2 linked regions of the Astyanax mexicanus genome follow. The protein of the gene in region 2 interacts with the protein of the main gene of each other region in a pairwise test. Links are inferred from orthologs where the notes say so. Each region holds a gene or a part of one and is shown on either strand. Other genes may lie near its edges.

Region 1 (9,584 bases), on a different chromosome or scaffold from region 2:
CAGGCTCGCCAGAGAGCAGAGCAGTCTGAAGCAGAGGAGCTCCAGCTGTCTGAGAAGAATTTAAGAGATTAAAACAGAAGTCTGGAAATCTGCTCCAAAGAATTTTGGCAAGGCGTTAACCCAACCACACTCGTTTCTGTTTTCAGACAGGAAAAGGTTCTTTCCTACGTTCTATTCCAGGATACGCTAACCGTAAAGCTCTGACACCAGGTTTTATTAGATTATGATTATTTAGGAAACGATTCAAGACTCAGTTCAATCTCCGATTTCACAGAAATTGTGTACAATTTGAGGTTTTTGAGGTTTAATACACAAATATGACTGTAGGAACCTTTTACAGAAGCAGTGGTTCGCAACCTGTGGGGCCCCAAGTTGGCCAAATATAGAAGAATTTGGAAATATACAGTAGTTGCACGACAAACGAAGAGTCAGATTGCTATGCTATTTAAAATGAAGATAAAAGTTACCATGAACAATCCATTTAGATTGTATATCTGTTGTATTTATTGTGCTAAATATACAGAAAAGACATAGTACAGCATCTGCAGTGTCTTCAAGACAAGCTCTTGAGATGGAAGCAGTATGTGGACAATAGGTTGCGCCCATTGCAGGAATCATTGCATTTTCTCTCATACCGCCATACCGCTAGAGGGCGCTGTGGACCGCCATGCGGAACAGAACTGTCAGAGAAGCAGCTGCAACCATGTGAAGTGAGAAACTACCAGCTCCTGCTTCTGTTTTGAGTGTTTTATCCCAGTACTATAGAGTTGTAACTACAGCCCTTTTAAATATATTAATTATTTATTACTGTGGCTTAAAGGACGATTTGAATGTATTTTTTGACTGGAGAAAGAAAGGAAATTGTAGCTGTACTATAATGCCTCTATTGGCTTCAGGAATAATAAATAGTAAATATTTATTTATTGTGCAATAGAGCTTTTGAGAAATATATCTTTGAATACTTACTGTACTAACAGTACAGTAACTCACAAACCTATATTAAAGCCCAGTCATGCAAAAAATAATAATAATTTAAAAATGTAAAAAATACGGTTATATACCGTGAAACCGTCAGAATCATAACAAATACCATGATATGCATTTTTGGCCATACTGCCCAGCACTAATAGCTTCTATTATGAAGACCAAATCTGATTTGACATATTAAACGTCTGCCATAGAGCTTTTGAGAAATATCTTTTTGAATGATTAAACATTAAGTATTTTAGGTTTATAGCATTTATGGAACTATTTAAAAAGGAAGCTGTGTTAAAGTTGTTGGTGTATCTCTTTTTTTAAGTCTATTGTTTAATTACAATATCCAGCTGTTTTTTTTTTATAATAAAGTCTGATTTCTTCATATATTGTTTATATATTTTGTGGGACAAAGTGAACCCAATAGTAATCAAAGCCTTAATTAAAAGATTTAGTGTTTTATACTATATTGTTGCTGTCCAATGAAAAACACTTATCTCCAAAACATCAACTTTACAGAAGAGAGAAAAAACTTGTAAACTTTCAATGGAAGTCAATGTAAAAAGAGTTTATTTCAGGTAATTTTGAAGAGTTTCTATTGGTCCGTTCATCTAGAAATTTTGGCACAGTGTAAGGGACAGTTTGTCTTTTCAAATTATGTAGTAAACTAAAAATCGGCAAAAATGGAGATAAGTGTTTTTTTATTGGACAGTGATGATTTTTACATCTGAAAGTAGAGTAAATCACAAACCTACATAAAAACCCAATAAAATAATAATAAGAATAAAATACTGTAAAATACTGTACCATTTCTTGTCATACTGCCCAGCACTAGCAGTGAGTTACAAAACAATGGGAACCTGATACAATTATACCAGTTTACACCAATTTAATCAACTTTATCCACCATAAATCTCACATTTTACGAGCTCTATCAGCACACAAGGCCTTGCTTTACTACTCGTAGCAAAGCATCATGGGTACTGCCCTACTTCCCACGGCTCAGTGTAGCTTTAACAGCTGATTAGCCAGGCTAATCCTGACAGAGTCGTCTGTGTGCGACGGTTCATCTGTACCTGTGTTTCCGTTTAGCGCGACTCTTCTCCACGTAGACCCCCAGCTCTGTCCGGATGGGTTTTAAGGTGGACTGGGGTCTGGGACCCCGATGGACCAGCCTGCATACTGCAATCTGAGCCGCACTCAGAGGACAGGCTTCGGGGGACATTGGGACGTTCAAACTTATGTCCAAAGGCTTACGGTTACAAAGCAAGACCTGACAGTGACTCATCGTGAACTTTTCTTTAGAAAAAGTCTTTAGAAAATTGGATGTCTTATGTAGATGAGAAGACAATACCAAATCAAGGTGTCCTCAAAGATTTTATCCAAAAGGTGGACATGGAATTTGGACAACAGGCAAAAACAGGTTGTCCTCAACGTCTATAGAAGATTGGATGTTTCACACAGATGATTTAATTGACAGTCTTGAGTCTTGAAGATGCTAACAAAATTGGACGTCCTCAAAGACTTCAAAAAAGGGACAACCTTAAAATCACAGATTTAAAGTAACAGTCAAAAAGGGGACATCAGGTAACTTGATGACTAGATGATTAGATATTTTTCACATTGGTCTTGAAGAAACTGTCCAATGTCCTCAAAGTCTTTAAAAAAAGGGTAATGTCTTATATAGATGAAAACAAGCTACCAAAACATGGACAGAGTCTTGAGGAAAGTGTCCAATTATCGTGTCCTCAAAAGGCTTTAAAGAAATCCTGTCTTAAACAAATGGACAATCCTGAAGTCACAGTCTTAATAGCAAAAAAAAAAAAAAAAAAGGGGCTTCAACGTCTTTAGAAGATTGGATGTTTTACATAGATGGGACAATGGACGGAGTGGACAGAGTGTCCCTACAAAATTTCCAGTATCTTACACAAATGAGACGATCTTGAATTTAAAATGTCTTGAGTAAGCTTTCAAATCAATGTGTCCTCAAAAAGATTCAAAGAATTCCCATGTCTTAAACAAATGGACAATCCTGAAGTCACAATTTAAAGGGGGTTCATACAAAATTTGGACAGGTTGTCCTCAACGTCTTAAAAAAAAACTGGATGTTTTACACAGACAGGAAAATGGAAAGAGTCTTGGAGAAGCTACCAAATCTGACATCTTAGACAAATGGACAATTCTGAAGTTTTTTAAGAAATTATCTAGATAAAAAGAACGTGTCCACAAAGAATTTGACATCTGTCTTAAACAAGTAATCCAAAGATGTGGTCATACACTTAAAAATTGACCACATATGAAAAACAGAGTGTCCTTAAAGTCTTTAGATGACAGAGTCTCGTGAAAGGTTGTCCTCAGTGTCTTTAAAAGACTGGATGTTTTACAAGGAGTCTTGAAGATGCTGGGTTTCCTCAAAGACCTTAAAATTAACAACCTAAAAGTTTAAAACAAAGTCCCAAAGTTTAGTTGTTTTACCCTTTTTAGATTATTCTTTAGAATTAGATTTTTAGAGAGTCTTGTGGAAGCTATCAAGAAACAGGGTGTCCTTAAAATCTTCAAATTACCAGGCATCTTACGCAAATGGACAATTTTGGACAAAGTCAAAGTCTTGAAGAATCAGTAAAAACAGGCAAAAACAAGGTTCCCTAAAACTAAAAGCAAGCGGTTCAACAAGAACCTACAAAAGGTTCTCGAGAAGTTCTCAAATCGACAATGTTGAGGAGGTAAAAACAGGCAAAAATGTCTTGTGTAAGAAGCAGAAAGTATCTTTCAGAGTTTCAATACTAAGATCTTATGTAATATCTCAAGAAAAAAAAGAATATCTTGGAAGGCTTGCAGTTTCTACCACCCACTCGAAGGTCCACGGGCAGCAAGGTCATTTCAATCAAAAATCCATTCTGTTACCGGAGTCTTCCGCCCACCAGCTCTGCCTGCTGTTCTCTCCCAACAAATCCACCAAATCACGAGCCGACTGCTTCACCACGAGCCCCAGCACTGTCTCCGGTGACGAATGCTGTCGTTTCTCAAGCCGAGGGTCTCGCCGAGGCTCCAGCGACCGGGTTACGGGTAGCGATGAATGACGGCAGTGTGACAGCAGTATTGCTCAGCAGGGTAAATGAGCCTTTAAGAGCCACAAGCTGCCCTAATTCTCCAGAGTGCCTCGGCTGGAAGGACACCCGGAGCATCACGCAGAAGTCCCGGCTAATCCAGCACCTGCTGATCCTGACAGATATTCAATCGGAGCTCAGACCTGGGAGAAGGGCACTCCCCCGTGGAGGAGCTCTGCAGACGTTCATTCATAATATATGGAGGAAAACACACTGACAATGAAGACTTGTTAACCCCTAATGCTCCATAAAGATTACTATAGATATAACACAGCAGTAAAAACAAAGGATCGGACTTAACATGGCCAATATTCAAGACATAGTCTACAAAACTGTGCACACAGAATTAATGTAGCCGATACACAAATCATAATGTCCAATAACTGTACCTAGAGGGTGCAAAATGGCATTCAGGCAGAGCACAGCAGCAAAAACAAAGGATCAGACTCAGTATAGTTGACACGCAACTTGTAATGTCCAACTATTGCACCTAGAGGGTGCCAGAGGGTACTCTGCTAAAGCACAGCATCAAAAACGAAGTATTGGAACTGATTCCGGCTTCACATAGCCAAAAGCCAACCCATAACGCCTATTAATAGCACCTAGGGGGTGCTAAAGGGCATTTAGAGAGAGCACAGTGGCAAAAACAAAGGATTAGACTTATCGTAATTGATAAGCAACTTGTAATGTCCAACAAATGCAGCTAGAGGGTGCTAAAGGGTACCCTCTAAAAGCACAAAGGAATAGAACAGATTCCAGCTTAACATAGCTTAACAATTGCCAAACCATAATGTCTACTAATGGCTTTAAGAGGGTTCCAAAGGGCACAGTGGCAAAAACAAAGGATCAGATTTATCATATTTGATACCCAACTCTTAATGTTCATTAATGACATCCTTTGCTAAAGCACAGTGGCAAAAACAAAGAATCAAACAAAATGTAGTTGATACACAACTTGTAATGTCCAACAATTGCCCCTAGAGGGTGCCAAATGGTACTCTGCTAGTGCACAACAGTAAAAACAAGGGATTGGAACTCATTCCAGTTTAACATCGCCAATACCCAACCAATAATGTCTATTAATGGCATCGAGATGGTGCCAAAGGGCAGAGCACAGTGGCAAAAACAAAGGATCAGACCTAATGTAGTTCATATGCAACTTGTAATGTCCATTAAGGCCATAATTTGCTAAAGCACAGCGGCAATTTAAAGGATCAGAATAAAAGTAGCCAATCCACAAGCCATAGTGTCCAATAATTGGACCTAGAGTATGCACTCTGCTAAAGCACATTGACAAAAACAAAGGATCAGATTTGACAGAGTTGATTTGCAACTTGTAACATCTTTTAATTGCACCTAGAGGATGCACTAAAGAAAGCACAGTGGTAAAAACAAAGGATTAGAATAGATGTAGCCAATAAACAAATGTACAATAATTGTACTTAGAGGGTGCTAAAGGGTACTGAAACACAGCAGTAACAACAAAGGATCAGAATAAATGTATGATCCGATATACTAACATTTGAACAACAAAAGAGCTAGCTCTTAGCATGGTTAGCCTGGTTAATGGTTATTAGCTAATGCTATTTTTTTTTCAGCCTTGGCGCTGGACAGAAACTTCACTGAAAACTCACCCTTATAACTATAATACTTTTTATAGCATAATAAAATTTATACATAAGGTACACCTGAATATAAGGTGCACTGACGATTTTTGATTAAATTAAAAGATTTTAAAACCCTATCTAGAGGGGGATAAGTGTCTCAGGGGGTTCTGATGTAATTTTCTCTTTTATAGGGGGGTCCTCTGTGATTTTATTCCCATCCAGAACGACCATGTAGGTGTTTTTCACAGACGTAATTTATCTACTGTTTTTCGCTGAACTCTTTTCGTGGTCCTCCGGTAATTTTAGTCCTGTCCGGATCCACATCTTTGAGTTTTATCTCCTTACGTTTAATAAAATAGCTATTTGTTCACTGCCGCGCACCTTCATTACACTTTGGTTGCACCACAGGTTCCACGGAGATCCACTTAAAAAAAAACACAACAGCGAGTGGACATGGAGGAGCCACTGAACTACTTTTTTTTAATTGTACCCCGGATGCAAGAGTTTTATCATGGAATAGAAGAAGTCCTAGACCTTCCTCGCAGTGCGTCTGCACCAGTGAACATACTGAGCCCTGCAATACGATTAGCAGCTCGTGAGCGGTGCATGTTAACATATGTTCAGCTGCTTAAACATGTAGTAACCCCCCCCCCCCCACCACCGCCATGCAGATCACAGAACCGCCACGCTTTTCTCTGACATTCACAGAGTTTGATCTGAGCGCTGCACACGAGCATCAGACAGGCTGCTGACGTGCTGAGCTGATGAGCTTCCCCACCGGCACGGCACAACCCACGCCTATTAATTCAGCTCAGGGTCACGACACCCATGAATCTTTAATACTCAGAGCGAGGCGCTCTGGTGGTCATGAGCGTCTAGATACAGTATGTGTTTCAGTCAAATATGTGCAATTTAAGCCATTTATTATTATTATTATTATTATTATTATTATTATTATTATTATTATTATTATTATACCCATAAAGAAACCAGGTATAAGGCTATATATACAGCTCTGGAACTAAAATAAGAGACCACTTAAAAATGATGAGTTTCTTTGATTTTACCAAATTAAAAACCTCTGGAATATAATCAAGAGGAAGATGGATGATCACAAACCATCAAACCACCAAACTGAACTGCTTGAATTTTTACACCAGGAGTAAAGCAGCATAAAGTTATCCAAAAGCAGTGTGTAAGACTGGTGGAGGAGGAGAACATGATGCCAAGATGCATGAAAAAAAACTGTGATTAAAAACCAGGGTTATTCCACCAAATATTGATTATTTCTGAACTCTTAAAACTTTATGAATATGAACTTGTTTTCTTGTTGTTGTTTTTTTTTTTTTTTTTTTTTGGCCATTTCCCCTTTTTTTGCAAATAAATGCTCTAATTGACAATATTTTTATTTGGAATTTGGGAGAAATGTTGTCTGTAGTTTATAGAATAAAACAGCAGTGTTAATTTTGCTCAAACATGATATATATATAGCTTATATATATGCATATATATATATACATTGAGTGCAGCTGCTCTTTGTTGTGTTGGCTAAGATTATTTACTGGGTAATCCTGAATTAAAGGAAATGAGATTTGGGATCCTGCCGGATTATAAACTACCCAGGCAATTAGCCGAGAGTGCTGAGATGATAGCACTTACATGCTAGCTAATTTCGTCTTAGTGCAATTACTCCAATTACTGCCAGTGTAATCAGTGTGAGACATAAAGAAAGATACATGTGGTAGTGATAGACTTTATTGTGCTAACTGTGCTACATGACACAAAATGCAGTATATAGGGGTTGACTACAACTTCCAGCTGATGCGTAAACTTGAAGCTGGAGCCTTAGAGCCTCACATTTACTACTCAATTTTATTTAGTGTGTTTTACCCTACAGTTAGCATGTTAGCTCACAGCTTGTATGTTAGCATGTTTCCTGTATGGTTAGCATCTGTCAGTTGTTAGAACTGTGTCAAAACCCATTTAAGGGTGGTAGCACTGAGCACAAACCAAGCTGGCAAGGGCAATATTAAAATAATACATTTTTAACTCATTAACTCATGTAGCACAGCTAGCAGATAGTAATTATAAAATTAGCTATAGCTGTAAAAGAATGGCACATGCAAATCTATCTCAATATGTCCCACACTCATTTTCCCATTTCCTAAAACCTATAAACTGCATTGTACCTTTGTAGTATTATGATGTTGCATTTGTAAGGTACTTTTAATATAATTACATTAGCTATAGCAGTGAAAGAATAAGCCCTAAAAAACCTTATTTTAACATGTCTTACAGTCATTTTCCCACAATATGAGTAATACAGGCAGGAGTAGTGCAGAACTAAACTGACTAGACTAGTAGCTCCCCAGCCCAGAGGGTTGTTGAACCCAATTGCAGAACAGTTGATCTCAGAGCAGATAAACCCAAGAGTAAAGTAAATAAATAAATAAGTAAACACACAAATAAATAAACACACGATCAAACCTGTGTCATCAGGGTCGCGTTCTAATACACTACTGCTGCCCCGGCTAGTGAATTGGGACACAGCCGGGGAAAAAAACGCCCTTAAAAGGAGATAGGGAGCCTAAGAACGAGCGGAAAAACAAGGACGAGCAGAAACTAAAGTTATGCTGAGCGCGACAGAGAGAGACAGACAGGGGAGGAATGTAAACAAAAGCTCACCAGAGAAGCATTTTATTTTATTTTTTTCTTTACTGTTCATTATAGTTCAAACAACATCACGGGCCCGATGTTTCATGCTTGCAGGCCACAAATGTTTCAGAGTTATAGCAGTATCTAATAAAATAACAACAATTACAACACAATACACCCCTAAAAATGTATGAAAATCCAAGTGTGTCATCTAAAAAAATGTGTGTTAAAAAAATCGTATCTTCATTTGAATGATCCGATATCGATTCATATAAACCCAAATCGTTCCTTACAATTAGCCCATTTTCTCTGCATATGTGTAAAGTTTTTTACACATATAGCGCCCAGGAGTCTGGGGAGTCTGCGGGGAGTTTCTGCAAAAATGTAATGTAAGTAATTTTCTTCTGACTGCTTTTCCACTCAGTGCTGCCTGTTTTTTTTTTTTTTAACTAGCACATTTAACACTGTTTCAAATTGTTTTCCAGTGTCGTTTTTGCCTGTACTTGATTAAATGTAAGACCTGTCCGCCTGAATCCACCGTTAGCTTAGCTTAGCGGGTTAGCCGTTTCACCAGGGAAGCAAATCCCCCTTTAGCTAGCTTTCCAAGCACCAAGCCCCACGGATAGTGCACTAAGCTAACTACACTAGCATGCTAAGCTAACCCCGCCAGTGCGCTAGCAGTGTCAGAGGGTCGTACAGTGCAACAGGTTTAACTGCTAGCTGGTATAACTGTAGATTAACCTGTACCTGAGTGATTTAATGTGTTAATAGTGGAATTATGATCATGTTTTCCGTGAAGCACTGTTACTAATTCAGAGTATTTTGTCCTCAGAGATGAACGTGAGGCTCTAATAAAGGGAAAGAAGAGCTACGCTCAGACTGGCTGGTTTTTCCCTCAGAATTTAATAAAGTTTTCTCTCTTTACATTATTCATTTTTCTTGTTGTGTTTTTTTTTTATTATCACTATGTGTATTATATTATCACATCTGAACTAGTGGGTTTGGGTAAATTTCACACTTTTATTATGCAGCTAAAATGTCAGTATAACAGTTATATATTCATACAGTGTTGTTGTAAACGATGGCTTCCAAAGCTTCATTAATGTTCTGGAAGCATGTTATGTTTTATCCACACACAAACATAAAATTTGAGTAAAGTGGTCATTCCAAACCTGTATAATGTGATTAACTAAACTATATTAAAAAGAAATTTAAAAGAAGAATGTAACTGTTGTGTTAA
Region 2 (10,549 bases):
GTGCTTGGTGCTTGATAGCTCCCATATGTTTACAGAGCATATGGAGACTATCAAGAACAGCAGCGTGTATTAGAGTTCATTACTGCGTAAAGCTCAAGGAACATGTGGGGTGTTTGTATAGATATTTTGCATTACCTTTGCCTGATACTGATTCTGATTCTCCATTAGTTCTGAGCGCAGTACAGAGAGAGCAGACTCCAGAATGCTGATCTGGGATTGATGAGAGGAGGTCTGGCTTTCAGCCTGTTTTCTTGTATAAACACAAAACACAAAATACTTCTATATACGCTTCCATACTATTTAAAGATGCTATAGCATTATAATAAAATGTGCCCGAGGCAGATCAGCATGGCTCTTACTGTAATAATTCCACCTGTAGTTGCAGACTGGCTGCATTACTCTGAGACCGACAGAGGCTCTTAGTCAATGCCGCCATCTCCTGGTCATGACTGGTAATGAGCTGCTCCACTCTGTATAAAACACAATGTATAAAAATTATGCATACATACATATTTAATTGTACAAATAACTGACAATCATATCAATAATCTCAAATCATTATATATAACGTTATTAAAGCTATATAGTAAATGTGTATTGTTTAGTTGTTTATATGCATACTTCACTTTCTGCTCCTCCAGAAGAGATTCTGTTCTCTCAGACGCCTCTTTATTAATGTCTTCCAACTGCCTCTCCAGCTGCCCAAAAAAATAATAATAATTAACTGCCAGTCAGGTGATACTTACATTTGCAACAATTCAGTTTAAAGTGATGCCATTAGTCACACATATGAAAATATATAAAACAAAAAACACAGGTTTATTTCCCTCCATTTATGGAAATATTTTCATCCACTCATAGTTGAAAACACTTGCATTAGCATACCTCATAAAAATGGCTAACATCACCTTGTCTTTTAATTCACCAAAGGCCTGTCCTATTAGCATTTTTTGTGGACAATGCATAGTTGCAAAAATATTGCGATAATAGCATAACAAAGCAATTAAAATCCTATATATTTTTTTTTAGAATCGACAGTGCGCCTTATGATCCAAAATGCCTTATGTATAAATTTTAACAGTCAGAACAGTTAAGCCACTGTGCTGAAGTGCAGAAGAGTTATACAGGAGTTCCAGTTTAGTTCTCCAGCACAGAGACTGGAGCTGTATTAGCATTAGTAGCGTTAGTTCTTTTGTCATTCAGAGGCGAGTATTATCGGTTGCTAACCTCGGCTAGCACTGCTGGAGCTACCCGCTATCTGCGCTAAGTGCTAGCGCTAGTTATTTTGCAGTTCCAAAGTGAGTATTATCGTCCTGTAGACTGCTGCTAACCCCGGCTAGCACTGCTTGAGCAGTATTAGCATTACCCGCTAACCGCACTAAGCGCTAGCTCTTTCACCGTTCAGAGAGATGAGTATATCAGACTGCAGTCTGCTTATTTACCACGTTACGTGCTACGTGGGACGAACACTTAGGGTTCCTCAATGTAGCACTGTCTGGCTGCATTAATGCTAATGCTGCTACTTACTGAAAATCTGGAAATCTAAGCTAACTCTAAATAAAGGTAGCCCTTTACTTTCCCTAATAAATAATTTTCATTTTTTTAAGAATTACAGTTTTGTTCACTTAGCTGAATAAAATACTGTTCACTGTTACATATGTGACCAAACATACAAAAATATAATCGACAATTTTACAATTATCACAATTATCAAATATTATCAAAGTAACATTTCTAACATATAAAAGCATTTAGACATAAGTGACATACCGACTGCAGTTTCTCCTGGAGACCACAGTTCTCATTTTCAATATGTTGTAGTGCTTTCTCCAGGACTGGTCCTAGCGGAAGCTTGTCAGGATTGAAGGGGCCGTCACAGCAGAGATAGCTCCTTTTTCCACTGCGCTTCTCATACTGTGAGAGTCTGATGAACACGTCATGCAGCATCTGCTCCATGGTCTCTGCTTGTCTTCTAAAACACTCTGCTCTGTCCTCAGCTTCCATCAGCTTCTGCTTGACTTTGTGCAACTCCTGAAGAGTCTCCTGTAACTGTCCTGTTAGCTCAAATTGCTTCGTAGATTCCTTCTCTCTGTAAGGAGAAAATGTACAGACGTACTGCACTTCAGTCATAATTAGATCACAAGGGTTATGTTTAGATTTCTCTTACCTTAAGTCTTCCAGTGCATCTTTTTCAATCTGGTTCTCGTGCAGTTTGGTTTGTAGCTGGATGATGGTGTGGCGGTAATGATACTTCTGCTGGTCATGCAGCTCATATGTCTGAAAGAAATTAACAGGGAATATTAAGACACTGTATAAGGTCAAATCACCTGATAGACCTAATTTTTAATCGATATAGCAAAAATACTAATCACAAGTTTTATGTTGCACCATACATAATACAATGTTTTTCCCTCAGACATTTAAAAAGCCATAACACAGAAAATATACAAAATAACACCAATAGCACAAACTGTACATAATATATATAACTAATAGTGTATTAATTAATATTAAACATATAATATACCCTAAGGCACTAATTACATTAAATTAAAGTATTATAACAAGTATTTAAGCTTTTTAATGAAATACCCTGTTCAGTGTCGAATCGCTACTCAGAAAAAGCCATAAAATAATGCATTAAAACAATAATAATAAAATATTGTCAAATCCACCAGTCATTATTAATGTTTTCATAAGCAATATGACTGCAACTGCAATCTGTAGATTTGTGAATGTCATTGATTTTTATGTGGACTGTGCACTGCAGCCCTAGTATGAAACACAAATATCACTTCAAAAAGGCTGCTAACTTGCTCCAGATACAGACCTCTCTGATCTGCCTTTGAAGGTCAGAGACCTGCTGAGAGTACTCCTCTACAGCCTGCTCAAGAACATCTTTCCCTGGGAAGTTCAAACATCCTGCGGTGTTCACATCCAAATGATCGGCAGTAGGTCGAAGGACGCACGGTTGTCTGTAAATGCCACGTTCTGATGATGCTTCTGATGATCTACCTGCAAGACAGAAGCCAAAATCATGTAACTGAGTTTCATGTAGACTTCAAAGTATACAGATAACAGGCTATTATCAAAAAGTGTAATATTCTCACTTGTTGCTGAACTGTAGTTTACTGGCAAGTCCGTGTTGAAAGATGTCCGACCCATCCTCTGCATAGTCAGTCTGGTGGCTTGTTCAACTTCTTCTTGAAGCTTTTGTGTCTCCCTGGTTTGTTTCTCCAGTTCCTCACTTTGAAGAGTGTGATTAGTTTGTTTAGAACAAAAAGTGTTTTTTACATCACTATTTTTCAACCCACCTTTTTCTTGGAAACAGAGGCATCACCAGGATTGTCAAGTTAGTGGGCATAGCAAAATGGATTTAAAAGGTAAAAAAGACAGACAGACCAAAAGGAGGTGGGTGGAAGGATGGAGGGATGGATTGACAGACGGACGAACAGAGAGACAGGTAGGGAGAGAAAAAGACAGATCAATGGGTGGATGGATGGACTGACAAAAAAGACAGGTGGATGGATAGAGAATGGAATAGAGGGACAGGCAGAGAGATGGAAAGATTGATAATTGAATGGATAGGTGAACAGGTGAATGAGTGAATTGATAGACAGATCTCTCCCAAATATTAATTATTCATACCTCAGAACATCCAGGCTGATATTGGGTCTTTCTGGCATGCCTTCTTCCAAACAACCTAAAAAAAGATTAAGGAACTGTTAGACTTAGATTAGTAAAGTCTGGCCTGCTTAACCAACTAGTTAACTAACCTAGCTAGTTAACTGTCGCTATCGCTAACATACTAGCTTACTACCAAACTACGATAAACTTTTACAGCCTTAAGGGTTTTCCTGCCGCCTTTATGCGGACTAACAGCGGGAATATTAGAGTTGAACTCACCTGGGGGAAGAGCTGGCTGAAGCGGGTCCCTCACAGCTCTCTCACGGCGGGGCTCGACCTCCGGGCGGAGGCGCTTCTCACTCTGACCGGTAAACATTGTTCGCAGAGTCGGGCTGCATTCTGTGATTGTTCACTCTTCAACACTGATAAAATAAACAGCGGGCGAAATAGTAAATATGGAAAAGCGGAGCTGGGCGAGTCGTTAATTTGCCGGGCGCCGAACAAAATGCATACTTACTAAATTAGCTTAGCTAACCTCGCTAACTAGCAAAATAACTCCGTTCAATAACTTTTCCCCTCTCTGTGAGCCAAGGCAGCTAATTTAGCTTAGCTTAGCTTAGCTTGTTAGCCTACAGCTTAACTGGATGAGGGAAGCCGCGCTGTTGCTCTAGCAACAGGTATCCTACTGTACCAGAGCCGGTGTTCCGTCAATTTGTGCTATCTTGTCAAACCGTGCTGCCCTAGTGTTTATTTAACTGTAAAAACACCATAGTAGAGCATGTTTCCAGTAAGAGTCCCAGTAGATGTAGCTAGCTAGTATATTTGGAAAGCATAAATTACTGTACCTTGGCAACGAGAGGACATTACAAAATGCTTTTGTATTTTTTATACTAATTATTGTATTTTTTTATTCTTATTAATTTTCATTTACACTTTTTTGTAATGACAGTGAGTCCATGTTATAACAGATTTATTATTAAAACAAAACAAAACAATTTTGTTTTTAAAGTGTTTAAATCATCAAAAAGTGTAGGTCAGCGCATGCGCAGTGCCTTAGGAAGCACGTATCGATGGGTATCTTAACCCGACAAAACACCGGTTCATGGAGAGACCGCCACTTACTGGTATTCCTGCCGTTACTGTCATAAAATGAGCTCAAACCGCTAGATGGAGCCCACTAGTGAGTCCTTAATGAATGGGGGTCAATGGAGATAAACAGCTAAAACTTAAATTAAAAAATATAACTAAATACTTTTCCAGGATATTCCTCTAATTCTAGAAAGTAGAATGAAGTATTTTGTTTAAAAAAGCAAAGAAAACGTAACATATATTTCCAGTTTCTACAGAAAATATAAACATTAAACCAAACTATTAATTCGCTCCATACCATAGACTGTATATAGCTGGACAGAGCATCGTCTCTTAAAAGTGAAGCCACCACAGGTCGGGCGCCCCCTGCTGTTCGGCTGCAGAAAGCTGTGTAACTCCACCCATCCCCATAGGTTTCAATGGCAAAACAGACAACTTTCAATCACGTTTTTTTCTAATATACTGTAATTCTACCTCCATTATTTAAATGCAACAGCTAGTGTAACCTCTGCTTATATTGTCAAATTTTTATATCCCCACAGAATTCGGTTTTTAAAACTTTATTCGGCTCTATTAAAAAAAGGTGTGGTTATGGTAAAAGGGCTGCTTATGGACGGGACCAATAACAGACCGTCAGCTCCGCTCCGTCCCGCTCTGCAGTCTGTGACCGCGAGGCAGCCCTCAGGGGCGGGGTTATTTAAAAGAGTAGGCGGTCTCTCCACAGCCTTTCTCCCTCCTCTGGTCTCTACTGCGCAGACTCTGGTCTCTGAATCGCCAAAATGGCGGAAGATTTTGGCTTCATTTTCATTGAATGAATGGGAACGGCGACACGGCGTCCATCTTTATATACAGTCTATGTGCGATCCTTTTAAATGGCGATTCAATTAATTTGAATGGGGATTCGTTCTATTATTTTTTTTTCATTTTGATTCTTTTACAGGAAATTACTTTTAAGGGCATTTTTAAGTAGCTTTTAATGGCTATTTGATGATTCGATGATCTAGAAGCTTTTAAATAAGCGGCATGGTAAGACACCTTTAAGTATGTAGCATATGTTTAAAAGCTTTTAAATCTGTGGCATGATTTAGAAGCTTTTAACCTTCAGCATGATTTTAGAAGCTTTCACGTCTGTGTGGTGCTGGGACAAGGCAGTGTGAAGGAGAAGGAGCTTTGCTTTTTTTATTGGTTTGATTTATTAAAATCTGTTTGTGGTCATCTTATTTTAAGAAATGATTGATTTATTATAATGCACTCTAAGATGAGAGCATGACTGCTGTTTGGTTTAAATAAAAAAGAATCAGCAAAATCATCTTTCTTCACTCCCACTCTCTCCCTTTCTTTTTTCTTTCTCTCTTGTTCTCCCTCTTTTTCTTTCTCTCTCTTGTTCTCTATCTCTCTCTGTCACAGTCACTTGTTCTCTATCTTCTTTTTTCTAACTCTTGTTCTTTCCCTTTAGTCCTGTTCTTTCTCTTTTTCTACTGTTTTTCTCATTTCCTTTTTTTCTCCCTCTTGTTTTCACACACTCTTGTTCTCTCATTCTCTTTTTCTTGTTCTCTTGCTTTCTTTCTCTTTCTCCCTCACACACTCTTGTACTCTCTTGTTCTTTCTCTTTTGCTCTCACACACACACTCTCTTTTTTCTTTTTTCTCTTTTTCTCTCTCCTTTTCTCTTGTTCTCTTTGTCACACACTCTTTCTCTTGTTCTTTCTTTTTTTCTCCTGTTCTCTTTTCCTTTTGTTCTCTTGCTTTCTTTCTCTTTCTCCCATTCACACTCTTGTTCTCTCTTGTTCTTTCTCTCTTTCTTTCTCTTGTTCTTTTTTTCTCTGTCATACACATCTCTCTTTTTCTCCTTTAATCTTTTTTCTTGTTATCTCGCTTTCTGTCTCTCTTATTCTTTCTCTTTTTCTCTTTTGTTATCTCTCCAATTCTCTCTCCTTTTCTCTTGTTCTCTCGCTTTCTTTCTTTTTCTCCCTATATTTCTCTCACACACTCTTGTTCTCTCTCTCTCTCTCTCTCTCTCTCTCTCTCTCAGTGCAGGGTGGTCTATTCCCACACACTCCTCCTCCTCCTCCTCCTCCTCTTCTTCTCTTGTCTCTTTGCCAACTATGTGAAACGCAATCCGGGCGCCAGGAGTTATTTTAGACCCTCGTGTTCTCTGTTTCTTTCTCTCCACCTCGAGAGGATCATGGACGGAGCGCTGAGGGGATCCAGCAGCTCCTCCCGCCGGTTTCAGCTGAACCCATTCGGAGTAAAATGAGGGACCCGAGCCGCCTCCGCTCCCCGGTCACTGCTGCTCCTCTCCTGGCCGCTCTTCTCCAATGTCTCTGCCGGTAGTCCTGCCCGGTTCCTGCTGTCGCTTAGCCCGGGCTTCTCTAGCCCCTCACTTCGGAGAGCCCTCGCCGTCTTCCAGAGGCCGCAGCCGCTGCTGCTCGGCCGCCGCTCGGTGGCGAATGTCCGGCTCCCAGGCGCGGCTCTCCCCCGCGCTGCTGCCCGCTCGACCGCTGCTCTCGCTCGGGCTGCTGCAGCTGGTCCTCGGCTGCTCCATGGTAGCGCTGTCCTTTGGGGCTCTGTCCCTCAGTAACTCGCCTCCCATCCGGAATTCGTGCCCGTTTTGGGCAGGATCTTCAGTGAGTACCTCAGTGTCTGAGATTTAGCTTCATTTTTAGTTATTAAATACGTGTCCTGCAGTGTTTGCTTTGTGTTCCGTCGTGTTTATAAAAAATGTAAACAAGCTGCTTCCTATAAGATTTTCAGTCTGTCATGTTTACATTATATAGGTTTACCTGCATGTTCCAGTTTTCTTTGGTTGTTTTTGAGTATGATTTATAGTAGTGGTAGTGTAAAGCTGTTGTTGTGAACACCACAGGTAAGCTTTAGCTTATACTTGATTAGCTAATTAATTAGTGTTTGATTGAGTTAATAGGATTTCCCTGCTGAAAAATCCACCCCAATACCAGCTTTTGCTAGTAGCTGGTTTTGATGGTCTTTCAGGGGCAATGTGCTTGAATAGCTGGTTACCAAATAAAAAAAATGATGGATTTGGTATACTGCTTCAAAGCCACATTATGTTTATGTGAACTTCAATTTTGGTCACAGATAGAAAAGTTATAACCCAGCTTGTTGACTAACTACTCCCAGTATTGTCTATGTTGCTTTTGAGTTTGGTCATGTTAGTCCAGCTTGGTCTTGTTGGTCAGGTTGGTCCTTCTTATAGAACCAGATAAACCATCAAACCCAAACAAAAAAAGTGTACTGAAGACCTAATCTGACAAACCATTTTACCCCCAGCAAGGATATAATGAACAGTATATGACCACAATTCTGTTACCTGCAATTACTTTCAGTGACCTCAAGCTTTGGCCATATTTATCTCAAATACAAACACTGAGATGAGCGGATGACCTGTGATGTGTTTATAATGTGGTGATACAGTAGCGAGTCAGTGTTTATAGTTTTTGGTGTGTTGTAGTATTGTTTCCTTAAGTACTGACATATTTAGACAAACACCTTCTCATTTGATGTTTTTTCCTTTTATTTTCTACATTGCAGTTCATATTGAAAACGATGAAACTACTTAATAAATAATATTTTTTCATAGAAACAGTGTTAAACCAGAATATTTTTTTATTCGATTCTTCACATCAGTCCTGATTTGCTTTAATGACAGCTTTAAACAGTCTGGGTCATTTTTTTCTCTTGTTCAGCTTCATAAGTCACTGTGAATATTTTTCTAACAATCTTGAAGTGGTTACCTGAAGTGTGTAAAGTCCATATGTATTTCTTCATAGTATATTTCTTCAATATTAACCAAATATTAATCTGCACAAAAAACAATGAGAAGGTGTGTCCAAACTTTTGGCCCATGTATTGCTAAAGATTTCTCTTATACAAACACACTGGCCTGTAGTGTACAATTTCTCTCATCTCGGATGAGGTTGATCAGATGTGTTTGGTGTCTAAAATTGTTTTTTTTTGCTAAAGCTTTGAAACTATACTAAACTACTAACTATAGTAAAAATGTATAATAGCTATATTTTACAAAAGTAATACTTATCATAAGTTCAAGTCCAAACTAACGAAGCAAACTTCAGGTACCAAACATGTCTTGGCCAATCAATTACGCTCAACTATGTAGCTATGTATCGATTAGCTATTACATAAGAACCACTGACAGCCGCAGCAAAAAAATATATTGATTATCTTGGTCTTCAGTGGGATTTAACATATTATGCAGCAAGTGAACAGTCATTTTTGAAGGTGATGTTAAAAACACAAAACATGGACAAAAATCAGGATTTGACCCGCTTTGACAATAGCGTAACTATGACGGCTAGACAACTATGGGCTTAGAGCATCTCTTAAACATCAGGTGGTTGTGGGTTTTTTTCTGCAATGTGGTCCAAAAAAGGACAACCTGTGAACTGGCAACAGGTTAAGGGGCACCTTAAGGGGCAGCTCATTGATGCAATCTGTTCAGGCCCAAACTCACAACATACAGAGCTTAATGGATCTGCTGCTGGTAACATGTTGGTGCCAGATACCACATGATGCCTTCAGAGCTAATGTGCAGTCAGTGCCTGACAGAATGGTCAGATCGGTTGTGGTGGCACAAGAGTGACCTACACAAAACTCAATATTAGTACGCAATTTGAACTCACCCCAAGTTGTTTTCTTCCACTCTTGTCATACATTATTCATCATTTTTTACTGAAACAATTAGAGGATAATGAAGGATTACTGAGGAAATCCAGGAATTGTGTAGCCACATATTAGAGAAGCATCTCTAAATTATTAACAGAAAGTAGCATTCAAAGATGCTGAGGTAAAAAAAAAAAGCATTTAGATGGTTTGAAATGAGTAAAATGGGGTTTTCCATGGACAAAAATACATGAGACCATCAGAGCTAAGAAACAAAGAGCAGGATGTAAAAGTGTTGGTGGCCATATGGTAATACCTTACGCATCTGCTGCAGCTACATTGCAAAGTTAATCTGTCTGCTCCATGGCGTATTTGCTGAATTAGCTGATTCTGTTCTCTGCAGGTCATCCTCTCGGGGATTATCGGTCTCACAACATGGAAGCGGCCAATGCTCCTGCTGGTACGTGTCTCACTGCTTCAGTTTCTGACTCTGGTTGATATTCACGCTTAAAGGGATGGTACATAGAAAAATTTAATTCCCACAAACAGTCCAGTGGAAAAATAATGTATGTTAAGTGTAATCCCATTTCACCCCTTGGCCCTACCACTTACTCTTAATCTTTTGGTTTGTGCATGCATGCCTAGGAGTTAACCAGCAGCTAGGTTGCTGAACTTTAGCGCTTCACTGCTATATATTTGTATTGGGTACTTAAAAGGGTGGTCCCATTTTTAGGGGCAAGATTTCACCCCTTCCACTTGTTACTCTCTTCCAAGGGAAAGGGGTTAATGGGATTGGACCTTTGTGTGGAATGTTTACTTATTTAGTTTTGCTCTGCAGCTTCAAAATAAAGAAATTAGTCCAAAATTCTAAATAAGAATCGACAGCATATCTATAGTATATATTCTCAACTGATACCACCCATTTTAAAAACAAGGCAAGACCCCACGAATAAATTCAGTCCATTTGACCCATATTGTTTATTTATTGTGTTATTTTCACCCCTTGTTCCTCCAATTCACCCCTATTCATTTTTAGACTCAAGCCTTAGTTTTTTTTTGCCCAACAACCACCAAACTGTGCGATCTGTAAGATCTAATCCACAGTCATACTGCCCAAAATGTGAATTGTCTTCTTTCAGCAAAGGTCCACAAGTTCTTATCCACAGCTGTACTGACCTGCACTCACCTATTTATAA

What was found.
Region 1: the proteins of coiled-coil domain-containing protein 158 (region 2) and gpsm1b interact in a two-hybrid assay, tested with the Homo sapiens proteins (2 studies listed by BioGRID and IntAct). The link is inferred for Astyanax mexicanus from reciprocal best matches to the Homo sapiens genes CCDC158 and GPSM1.

The regions. Positions count from the first base shown.
Region 1 is NC_064408.1:4,129,729-4,139,312, reverse strand, and holds the start of gpsm1b (G-protein-signaling modulator 1b), read right to left. Parts: upstream 4,174-9,584; 5' UTR 2,264-4,173; coding exon 2,052-2,263; intron 1-2,051. UniProt on the Homo sapiens protein: Guanine nucleotide dissociation inhibitor (GDI) which functions as a receptor-independent activator of heterotrimeric G-protein signaling.
Region 2 is NC_064429.1:24,060,238-24,070,786, forward strand, and holds the start of coiled-coil domain-containing protein 158, read right to left. Parts: upstream 4,436-10,549; 5' UTR 4,004-4,435; coding exon 3,907-4,003; intron 3,704-3,906; coding exon 3,649-3,703; intron 3,248-3,648; coding exon 3,111-3,247; intron 3,016-3,110; coding exon 2,831-3,015; intron 2,278-2,830; coding exon 2,168-2,277; intron 2,090-2,167; coding exon 1,771-2,089; intron 699-1,770; coding exon 622-698; intron 471-621; coding exon 360-470; intron 251-359; coding exon 136-250; intron 1-135. Other genes in the region: protein FAM189A2, read left to right, coding at 7,034-7,342, 9,757-9,813.